Xenopus tropicalis: one gene and its partners. The protein of the gene in region 2 interacts with the protein of the main gene of each other region in a pairwise test. Links are inferred from orthologs where the notes say so. Each region holds a gene or a part of one and is shown on either strand. Other genes may lie near its edges.

What was found.
Region 1: the proteins of psmc5 (region 2) and rarb interact in binary tests that used the Homo sapiens proteins (3 or more experiments, as listed by UniProt). The link is inferred for Xenopus tropicalis from reciprocal best matches to the Homo sapiens genes PSMC5 and RARB.
Region 3: the proteins of psmc5 (region 2) and fos interact in a two-hybrid assay, tested with the Homo sapiens proteins (3 studies listed by BioGRID and IntAct). The link is inferred for Xenopus tropicalis from reciprocal best matches to the Homo sapiens genes PSMC5 and FOS.

The regions. Positions count from the first base shown.
Region 1 is NC_030682.2:47,514,263-47,517,981, forward strand, and holds the start of rarb (retinoic acid receptor beta), read left to right. Parts: upstream 1-838; 5' UTR 839-1,471; coding exon 1,472-1,628; intron 1,629-3,719. UniProt on the Homo sapiens protein: Receptor for retinoic acid. Retinoic acid receptors bind as heterodimers to their target response elements in response to their ligands, all-trans or 9-cis retinoic acid, and regulate gene expression in various biological processes.
Region 2 is NC_030686.2:15,719,631-15,723,384, forward strand, and holds the start of psmc5 (26S protease regulatory subunit 8), read left to right. Parts: upstream 1-919; 5' UTR 920-1,012; coding exon 1,013-1,060; intron 1,061-3,005; coding exon 3,006-3,077; intron 3,078-3,226; coding exon 3,227-3,296; intron 3,297-3,754.
Region 3 is NC_030684.2:82,309,822-82,313,575, reverse strand, and holds the start of fos (proto-oncogene c-Fos), read left to right. Parts: upstream 1-976; 5' UTR 977-1,061; coding exon 1,062-1,205; intron 1,206-1,694; coding exon 1,695-1,919; intron 1,920-2,036; coding exon 2,037-2,144; intron 2,145-2,346; coding exon 2,347-2,976; 3' UTR 2,977-3,754. UniProt on the Homo sapiens protein: Nuclear phosphoprotein which forms a tight but non-covalently linked complex with the JUN/AP-1 transcription factor. In the heterodimer, FOS and JUN/AP-1 basic regions each seems to interact with symmetrical DNA half sites.

The sequences.
Region 1 (3,719 bases), on a different chromosome or scaffold from region 2:
GATCTGTTTGTGTGCAACATAGTTCTTTTGTTCCAACATCGAAAAGAATTAATAGAAAATATTATTACCTCAACAGTGGCCCCTTGTGCCGAGGCGTAGCACACAAGCCTGGATAAGGAGATAGCAACGCTAGAGAATTCCCCCCATAGGGGAACCGCAGTGTGGTATTAAGACCAAACCAGCGGCTGCCGTGCCCCCGATTGTACTTAGCCTCATTGTTGTCATAAAGAAAAAGCCCTGAGCTCTGATTAAATTTGGCATATGTGACTTCTCACCCCAGTGTGCCCTTTTATCAAGACATAGCTGTGGATTAATGGTTATTTGCGATCATTAGAGCACACTCCCGATGCATGCTACTGTGTGGGAAAAAATGCCTTTCACTGGCTACTGGGACGATCTGGAAACGTCAACCTCATTTAACAGCAGCGGAAATTTGCTATTTTCCAGGATTTTTTAAAATTGTTCTCCCTTCATTTTTGCGTGTTGAAAAATACAAGATAGATAGAAGTGTGACTGGAAAGTGAGCGATAAAAAAATGTAATTAAAAATAATTTATTTTTTCCTGAAATGGGAAAAATAGTGACAAGCAATAATTGCTTGTCACTATTTTTCCCATTTCAGGAAAAAATAAATTCTGACAAAATCCATTTAGTCATGGTTGCCCTGCACAGAATTGAATATCAGAGGTGTCACAGGCTTAGCTTGCAGTTTGTGCAAGAAATGTGTTTAGGTGGGAGAAGTGCAAAGAGCAGATAGGAGAAGGGCAAGCGTGTGGAGTGGGGAAGCAGCGCTGGCTGCCTGCGTCCCTCTCTCTCGCTCTCCCTCTGCCTGTCTGTTTCTGCAGGCTGGCTGCTAGTCTTTAAGCTGTGTGAGAATCCTGGGAGTTGGTGATGTCAGACTGGTTTGGGTCATTTGAAGGTTAGCAGCCTGGGAAGGGTTCATGGAAAGTTCACTCGCATATATTAGGCAATTCAATCTTTCATTTTGTGTGACACAAGTAGTAGGAAGTGAGCTGTTCAAAAGCAGAAGGATCTATTTGCTACAGAAGGGGGGACCGTACTGCTCGATGACATAAATTTAGTTATTTTTTCCGACTTTCGACTCAGTTGCTCACTGATACAAGCAGCAGCTGAATAGCTGCTACAGAAGGCTACAAGCACCTCCAGGAATTTAGATGCATTTTGCCTGGAGCTGACAGCTTGGATTTCTTCATCTCCCCCCCCCCCTCTCCTCCTGCTCCGCTGGAATGGCTGGGAAGCTTGGAAAATAGTAAATGATCATTTGGATCAATTACAGGCTTTTAGCTGTGTTGTCTGTCATAATTCATGATTCTGGTCTGGGAAAAAGACCAACAGCCTACGTGCCAAAAAAAGGGGCAGAGTTTGATGGAGTTGGGTGTACTTTTTCGATAGCAATTTGCTGTGCACCTAAAGGATAAGCACTTTCGCTGATATTCTGTATAGGGGGAATCATGTTTGACTGCATGGATGTTCTGGCAGTGAGTCCTGGGCAAATGCTGGATTTCTACACTGCGAGCCCGTCTTCCTGCATGCTCCAGGAGAAAGCTCTGAAAGCATGCTTCAATGGATTGGCACAGACGGATTGGCAACACCGGCACAGTGCTCAATGTAGGTGCACCTACCCCTCCATCTGTTTGTATTCTCCCTTCTACTTCACATTGCATGCTGCCAGCAGAACAACTTCGCACTGACACCAGCTCCCATTCCCTCACTTCTCTTTTAGCCTACACATTGTACTACTATTTCATCTAACCTTTGACAAAATATTCACTAAGCTAGTTTGCACAATGTTGCATGTGTTTAAAAAAAAAAAAAAAGTAGCAATTAGATATGTCAAAAATGATATATATGAATATAAAGTTATATACGGTATTATATATATATAATAAGTTATATTGTTATATATATATATAGTTAGTTATTAATTATTCCAATGCAGAAAAAGGGATTTTTTTTTTAATTAATTTTTATAAATGATTTTTGGTTTGTTTGTTTATGTCTCTGTTATTTTTCGGCATTACTCAAAACCCTTTTTTTAGCGCCAACCAATATTTGCATCCTTTCTATCGCTAAGAAGTTTCTTGGGCAATGGCCATTACTCACGGTCACTTAAGTGTCTGGCCATCAATTCAAGCCTGAGTTGGAGGCTTTACAGTAGGAAACTTGTATATGAGGAGAGGTCGTGTTAGTGGTCTGCTAAATCCTCTTATCTGATGGTGACACGGTGCTGAAGAACATATATAATGTAAACAGCAGAAGTGCTTTTCACACCCTGGCTGCAGGTTTGAGAAATGACCAGAGGCGCCAGAATTCACTAAGCCATTCACTGGCCAGAGGAGCCTGCAGGATGCTGCTTTGCTCTGACACTGATTTAGATAAATAGCCCAGCTATTTATCACAATGATTTTAACACAGTGTTCGACACCTAAGCTGTGGGATGTTCCTCCAATTATGCTGTTACTTGATTGTTTTATGAGCACTTTGTGCTCGGTAAGACTAAATGAAAATGTAGAATTTCTCTCTTTACTTTTTTGCAACAAAATGTATTCTTATAAAATGCACTAAAGAATCCCTTATCCACCGTGGGACAGTTTTATTATAGCAATTAACTATGTCCAAGCGATCCTTAGAAATCAGTCATATTTAATGATATTTTGAATGCGTGTTTGTGTATGTGTTAGAAAATATATATCCAGAGACAGATGTGGATATCATTTTTGCAGTGGTGTAGTAAGCTGGTTTCTATGATTCTAGCATGAAATCTATGGCCTCATTAGAGCTTGCTAAATCTGCTCTCAAAGTACCCCAGGATAAGACTTTCTTTAATATCGCCTTAAGGCAGTCAATAGCTTAGCCTGATAAAAGATTGTTCTATTTTTACATAGATTAGACTATTCATATACTATAAACCATATCCAAATGCAGGGCGGGCTGGGTTACTATACGGCATATACAACATTGGCTATTTTTTGTTTATTTAGTTCTTTGGAATGATGTAGATTGAGATTTGTTTATGTAATCGGATGAAAGAGGAAGTTATCGCAGTGTTTCTAGTCATGGTAAACATTTAATGAGGTTGAGCAGTGAAAGTCCTATCTTTAGTCTGGGTGATAACAGGAAAGTGGTAATAACCACAAAGAAACCTCAGATACAAAAAAAGTAACTGAAACAAGAAACAAATAGAAAATAACATTGCTAAATAAGTTAGTTTCGATATTTAACTGCCACTGAGGTATTGTTACCTTTTTCCCACATCGTAGACATGTATATAAAAAATATAAACAGTCCCATAGTAGTTTACACTTGTTAAAATGTGGGCCTCAACTTGTAACATTCTGAAGTTCAGAGATTTAAAGCTTTCCTGCTTGACAGTTTGTGTATTTTACACAGTTTAATGGCTATGCTAATGTCACCAGGGTTTTTTTGTTTTTTTATCGCTGCCATTCTTTGTAACAATTGTTATTATGCTTTATCGTCACTTGGAAAATTGATCTAAGGCATAAACCAGACTTGGTATTGGATATCATTACACTTACAATTTTGCAGTTATCGTGAAATCAATTATATACTATAAACATAAGCTTGACAGATAATCTAGGCAATTATTGACCCCCCCCCCCCATATAGTACTTACATTTGTGCAGTAACATCCATTTTTGTCTTTTTACTACATTGGATAGGTGATGTTTATTTCCCATT
Region 2 (3,754 bases):
ACCCACCTCGCAGCACCCCCCACCCAACGTCCTTCCCAGAGTGCTCATAATTTAACCCGTCGGGAGGAGCGGTCGGGCAGAGGGAGGGCAGCAAGGGTTGGGTCTGGGCCGCCAGGTCCCACTAGAGCCGGAGCCCACCGGGATTTTTCCTGGTGTCCCGGCAGCTCAGTCCGACCCTGGATATTCAGTGCATGTATGGCGACTCGGCAAGGCGACCGATATTGCCATTGAATCCTATTGTTTCTACCTCCATATCTGACAATTCAGCCCTGAACTTCTGTGGAGGGTGGGAACTATCCTTGCGACTTGAAAAATCGCGTGTGTGGCCACCTTTAGGGGAACTGAGACTCGCAGCTTAAAGGGCAATTTCACCTTTTTCAGCAAAACTGTAATAACACATAAAACAGGACCCCAAAACCCATTTAGTCAAATGGGAGTGGTATTTAGGGGGTATGATTGCAAAATGGGCATGGTAAAAAAATTGCCACGCTGCGCGCAGCATTTATTTTTGTCCCTCATTCTGTTTTCAAAATGTTGGGAGGTATTAAAGGGTCGTGGCATTAGGAAGGTTATAGGCGGAACAGGCAGACCAGCTGAGGGGCAATTGTGCATGGCTGGGCCCACTGGGACATATTTAGGCACTGCCACTATCAAGGGCAACTATTATTTTTTGGTGCGTCTCAGATTTAATATTTTTTCAAGCGTTTATGCTCAGAAAAAATGCTTTTCAGGCAATTAACTCTTTTTGGAAACAATTTTTCCCAAGCAAAATATTATATAAATATAATCGATATCTCTACTCCCAGGATACTAGATAATATTCTATTACAGACGCCCTGAGAGCTGTAAGTACCCGGAAGTGCGCAGTACATACTCCACAAAGCCAGATGGCGCTGCTCAGTTCGTGTCGGTGACATAAGGTGAACCCCGCGGCGGCTAGTTCCCTACGTCACTTCCAGAATCTCAGTGTGGCTTGGGTCGCTTCCGGTCCTGAGTCACGGTAAAGCGAAGAATGGCTCCGCCGGGAGAATACAAGGTGGCGGGGGACGGGATGGAGCAGGTACCGGGGACAGAGGATTACTGGGTCTATAGGACTTATGGCTGATAGGGCCGCCTGTGCGGCGGGAGCTGTTTCTGTCCGCCCTTATACCCATATCTGCCGGCTGTACAGTAACCCAGGAGTGACAAGCTCTCTCCTTTCCCTAATAACTCCCAGTGCCATATACAGTCCTGCCTTCTGTCCGGCTTCAGCGCAGGCGGCTGTACTAGTTTCCCTGTGTGGCTTTATTCACATCCTGGTGCCGGGGCAGAGCCGAAAGGGAATCTCTTCTAGAATCCACAATCTATGAACCAAAGGGCCCCTAACCTCTCCCTCAGCTGTACTTATCCCCTCATCTGTACTCAGAGCCACCGTAACAGTATCTCCTCATCACAGTATCCCCTCCCTCAGCATTACAGGGACCCCAGCGTCACAGGGTCCCTGCATCAGGGAGCATTACAGGGTCCCCTGTCACAGCATCAGAGGGTCCCCCCTCGCAGCATCAGAGGGTCCCCCCTCGCTCAGAATTACAGGGACCCCTGTCATAGCATCACAGGGTCCCCCCTCCTTCAGCAGTACAGCCCCCCCTTCCTTCAGCATCACAGGGAACCCATCATCACAGGGTCCCCCCTCCTTCAGCAGTACAGGGACACCATCATCACAGGGTTCCCCCCCCCCCTCAGTATCACAGGGTCCCCCCTCCCTCAGCATCACAGCCCCCCCTTCCTTCAGCATCACAGGGACCCCATCATCACAGGGTCCCCCCTCCTTCAGCATCACAGGGTCCCCCCTCCTTCAGCATCACAGGGTCCCCCCTCCTTCAGCATCACAGGGCCCCCCCTCCTTCAGCATCACAGGGCCCCCCCTCCTTCAGCATCACAGGGCCCCCCCTCCTTCAGCATCACAGGGCCCCCCCTCCTTCAGCATCACAGGGCCCCCCCTCCTTCAGCATCACAGGGCCCCCCCTCCTTCAGCATCACAGGGCCCCCCCTCCTTCAGCATCACAGGGCCCCTCCTCCTTCAGCATCACAGGGCCCCCCCTCCTTCAGCATCACAGGGCCCTCCCTCAGCATTACAGGGTCCACAGAACGGTAGGCCCCTGTGTCAGGAAGAATTACAGGGACCCCTCCCACCATCAGCATCACAGGGTCCTCCCTTCCTCAGCACAGCATTGTAGGTCCCTACATCAGGTAGCGTTATAGGTACCCCTCCCTCAGCATCAGATGGTCCCCCCTCCCCTCAGCATTACAGGGTCCCTCCTCCCTCTGTATTACAGGATCCCTCCTCCCTCTGTATTACAGGATCCCTCCTCCCTCTGTATTACAGGGTCCCTCCTCCCTCTGTATTACAGGGTCCCTCCTCCCTCAGCAGTACAGGGACCCCATCATCACATGATCCCCCCCATCAGGAAGCATCACAGGGACCCCTGTCACAGCATCAGAGGGTCAGCCCCTTCCCTCAGTAGTACAGGGACCCCATCATCACAGGGTGAGCCTTCCACCAACATCACAGGGTCCCCCTGTCATAGTGTCACAGGGATTCCTGTCGCAGCATTTCAGGGTCCCTCCTCCCTCAGGATTCCAGGGACGCCAGCATCACACTCCCCCCCCCCCCCCCCCCTCCAGCATCACAGGGATCCCCCTGCACCCCCCCCCAAACTATTCAGGGATCCCTGAACATTAAATATCACTTATATACCTCATACAATCATTTTAGCCAGACAAAGGGAATGATAACACGTGATCTCTCTTTTGTGTTTACTTATTTTCTTACCTGTATTACAGTAAAGCTGATTGTTGAACCATTGGGTGGTGCATTTCCCACATATGTTAGGCTTGCCATGATGCATGACGAGGGGTATTGCACTAATCACTACAGTCTGACGTGTCCTTGTCCTCCCACCCATTGTCAGTAGTACCTTATGCCTGTTATATGACGCTGACAATATCTGCTGTTTCCTGCACAGATGGAGATGGACGAGTCCCGTGGAGGTATTGGCCTGAGGCAGTATTACTTGTCCAAGATTGAAGATCTACAGGTATTTTTTATACTAACAGAACTATAACTACTAATCTATGCTGTGTCTGCTTGTGTACAGCTTTACATACCCACCAGACCCAATTCAGTAGTGCTGTTGCATTACTGATCACACAGTTATTCTAGCTGACAGTCATCTTTTGTCCCCAGCTTGTTGTTAATGACAAGAGTCAGAATCTCAGGCGCCTGCAAGCACAGAGGAATGAACTGAACGCTAAAGGTATGGCCGTTACATTATTGGGTTGGATGAGATGCTAGTTATATAATGACGCTCATAGATTTGTAGAAGAAAGCAGTGCTTGAAAGCTTGAACTATTTCTGCATATATATGACCTAAAATGTTATTTGGTTTTCACACAAGTACTAAAACTAGATTACAAAAACCAAATTCAACAAAGTGTTATACTTGTTCACTTATTTATTGAAGAATGTGATCCAAAGTGACATATGTGCTTGGGGAAAAAGTATGTGAACCACTAAGATTCTCAGTTCATTTGAAGGGGAAGTTGACCTGTTTCAGTCAATGGGACCATAAACAGATGTGAATGGGGGAGGCCATGTCTTAGTTAAAAAACAAAAATCTGACTCTTTGTTATGCAAGTCTGATCTTAACAACTCGGGTTTCTTGAAATATGTAATTTCTTAAATCTAAAGACCTCTGTCAAACTGTTATTGCAG
Region 3 (3,754 bases), on a different chromosome or scaffold from region 2:
TATAATACACTGAGCAGTTTGCTATTTTTGTTTCTGGAGCTGAGGGGGTCAGCGCAACAAAGATCAATATTAATCTCTGTTATACAGAATAGCTGGAGGCATATGGGGCACAGTGTGGTGGGAAGCTTGGAAAGGGGTCCCCAGGTGAAAACCAGGAAACCAGTGTAATTTTTACTGGGGCCCACAGTTCTTTAGTTAAGCCACTTTCATATTTTACATAGGACAAAATGTAATTGTATTATAGGCAGAACAGGGTATATGAATTATACAAATGTATCGCTATTCATTTTATAGATAAACGAAAGTGACTTGCATCATACATGTATACTCTACAGTCTACATCATTAACATGCAGAGCAGAATTTAACTGTACAGCGTTTGCCTTTTATGTTAAATTGCAGTGTATACCTGTATTACATAAACATAAAATTGTATTTTTTATTAAACACGGATACCGCGGATATTGTTTTCAAAAGGGCTGCGTAACCTTTTTCCACTCTTCAGTTTTACCTTTCTCCCAATTCGCACCCTCAACCCCTCCCTTTTTGTGTCTGTCTTTGCTTGCTAGGGCTCTTCCCGGCAGCCCTACCCCTAGCCGCCTCAAACCGCCCTCAAACAGGATGTTTTCCTTATAAGGATATCTGCGTCATTTGGATTCCCGAGTTCGGTGAAACCATTGGGTAAATCCGAGGGGGGAGACAAAAAAATAAGCGTTTGTTAGGTAATGCTACCTTGAATATTCATTTAGGTCATTGTCAAGAACTGAAGAATATTTGACATTCAGCACAATTAAATAGAAAACGAAAGCCCCGAGAGTTGATACTAGAGTTGCTCGTCCCTTTGAATAGTGGTAGGGTCTAACTCGTGACGTAGGCTTTGAAAAAAAGTAAAAAAAAAACCTCTGACAGGGTATAAAAAGCTGGAGAGGAGGCAAGTTCCTTCAGACTAATTGCTTCATCGTACGGAGTGGTTTGACAGCTTGGTGAGCCAGGACTGACGGTCTTTCTCTGTCACTTGCTACTCCCGGAGCTGGTTTTACATTCTTACCCTCAAAGGGCACCATGTATCACGCCTTCTCCAGCAGCACCGAATATGATGCAGCTTCTTCCCGTTGCAGTAGTGCCTCTCCAGCCGGGGACAGCCTGACCTACTACCCGTCCCCTGCAGCTTCCTTCTCTAGCATGGGGTCACCTGTTTCTCCACAGGTAAGTCATCTGATATATGATTTTAAGAGGGTGATGAAGTGTTTGCGGGTGGCTTACTTTACTGGTTGTATGGGTACAAGTAACTGGGTTTAGACTTGGCACCCGAATATCCATAGTCACTGCTCCTGGGACTAACACCCAAATCCTGGTTCATGTTGTAGCCCTGACTTCAACAGGGTCTTTGCACTCTCTTGCCCCTCCCCCCACTGTATGTGTAAAGCGGTTCCATTGATAAAAATCCAGAGTTCATTCAGGAGACTCCAGAGCTGTTCCTGCGTCACTAGTGACGGCGGAGCTATTTCTGTCATACTCGGGCTCGTGTGCTAGGATTGGAAATGCGGAACCCGGGTGGGATTATCAATTTCAATGGCTGGGTTGTGTGTGTATATTTGTATAGATACACATAACACTTATTGTGTGCAGTATTGCCGATTGTATACGTATTTTCTCTTCACTGATAGTCTCCTATTTCTACTTATGTGTTTTTAGGACTTCGGTGGTGATTCAAGCAGCAGTTTTGTACCCACAGTCACTGCCATTTCCACCTCACCAGATCTTCAGTGGCTTGTACAGCCAACCCTTATTTCTTCTGTAGCCCCATCACAGTCTCGGGCACACCCTTATGGGTCCACACCAGCTTACAGCCGATCTAGCGTTATGAAAGGATCTGCTGGAAGAGGTCAGAGCCTGGGAAGAAGAGGAAAAATGGAGCAGGTAACTGTCAGACCTTTGTTTTCCTTTAGTTTCTGCAATGCAGGTGTAGGTAGATGTTGTTTATCTATAAGCTACTTGTTTATTTATATTGACAGTCTGTCTTTTCTCTGCTTATAGCTTTCTCCAGAAGAAGAAGAAAAAAGGAAAGTAAGACGAGAAAGGAATAAGATGGCAGCTGCCAAGTGTCGTAACCGCCGTCGGGAGTTAACAGACACCCTTCAAGCGGTAAGTAGGCTACTAAATAGGCAGTAGTTTATATAAATGTTAAGATTATATATTATATATATATATAATATATATATATATATATATATTAGTTTGACTATATGCAGAGGGATGGAAAACATAAATGGGATCTATATTGCTCTCCATTCTTGGAGGATTTGATTGTTTGAGGTTCTTACTATACCACCTTCTTCCCTTGTAGGAGACTGATGACCTGGAGGACCAGAAATCTGCCCTGCAGGCAGAGATTGCCGGCCTTCTAAAGGAGAAGGAAAAGCTGGAGTTTATACTTGCAGCTCACAAACCAGCTTGCAAAATTCCACATGATCTTGATGGAGCTTTTCAAGACTTGACCTCATCTCTTGATCTGGGTCTGATTTCAGAGACCCCTTGTTCTTCCAGCTCTCAGGAGCCTGTAGCAGAGCCTCTGTTTCCCATTGGCCTTTCTCAGTCTTCCATGCCTGAAAAGGAGAACACCCAGCTGCAAGTCTCTATGGAACTCAAATCTGAACCACTGGATGATTTTCTGTTTAACTCTTCTCACACAGGTGTAACTGATGCAGCACGTTCTGTGCCAGATGTAGATCTTACTAGCTCTCTTTACACATCAGAATGGGAGCCACTGTATAGCACTTTATCTGCAGACATGGAGCCTCTGTGCACACCAGTTGTTACCTGCACTCCAACATGCACTACCTATACAACATCATTTGTCTTCACATACCCAGAATCTGACCACTTCCCCAACTGTGGAGCCGCACATCGGAGGGGAAGCAGCAGCAATGAGCAGTCATCAGACTCTCTAAACTCTCCCACCCTTTTGGCTCTGTAATGCTGAGGGACATTCACACAACCATTGTGAGATGCTGCTGGGGACTTTTACTTGTACTTGTTAAACTGGTTTATTTTGGTGCCTCCTTCCTTTGACTCCAAAATGCAATAAGGCACCATATGTGGCTTTTACTGTCATGCTTTTGGAACTTCTTCTTTGCTGCCATAAGTGTTCACTGTGCATGTCAATCCAAAAAATATGGTACTAGCATGTGACCTAGGCTCAGATATAGGTAATGTTTTGAAAAGTGTAAATATCACAGTGAGCACTGTACTAGGCCAAGAGTCTCCTACTTCCCAGTCATCACAAACTAGCACTAGATCCCTGTTAACTTATATGGTTGTGTAGTTGACTCCTACTTCCAACTGCCACTGGAGCCTGATACCTCTTACTGATCTGTAGCACTGGCATGGACTTGTTGTGAATTCTGTTAATATGTAGCATGATGTATCCCATACATTAACTGCTAGTGGCAATGACCTACGTTAACCTGTTTAGGTAATTGTGATATTGATAAAAGCCTTGTGCTGTTAGCTTGGAAATGTAGTCTAAGCTAGCTCACAGGAATGTTATGGTGCTGGCTGAGTACAAGGTGTTTAGAGGAGTTAGCTCTAAATATCCTTGTACCAGCCATGATATTCATTTGTAAGTCAGATATATAGATCATATATAGATATCCTTTTAAGGGCCGGACACATGGTGAACGTGCTGTTTCTTCCGTTGATTGTAATACTGTCTTTCCAAGTTTTCCATGAAAACGTTGATTTCCTGTAGATGG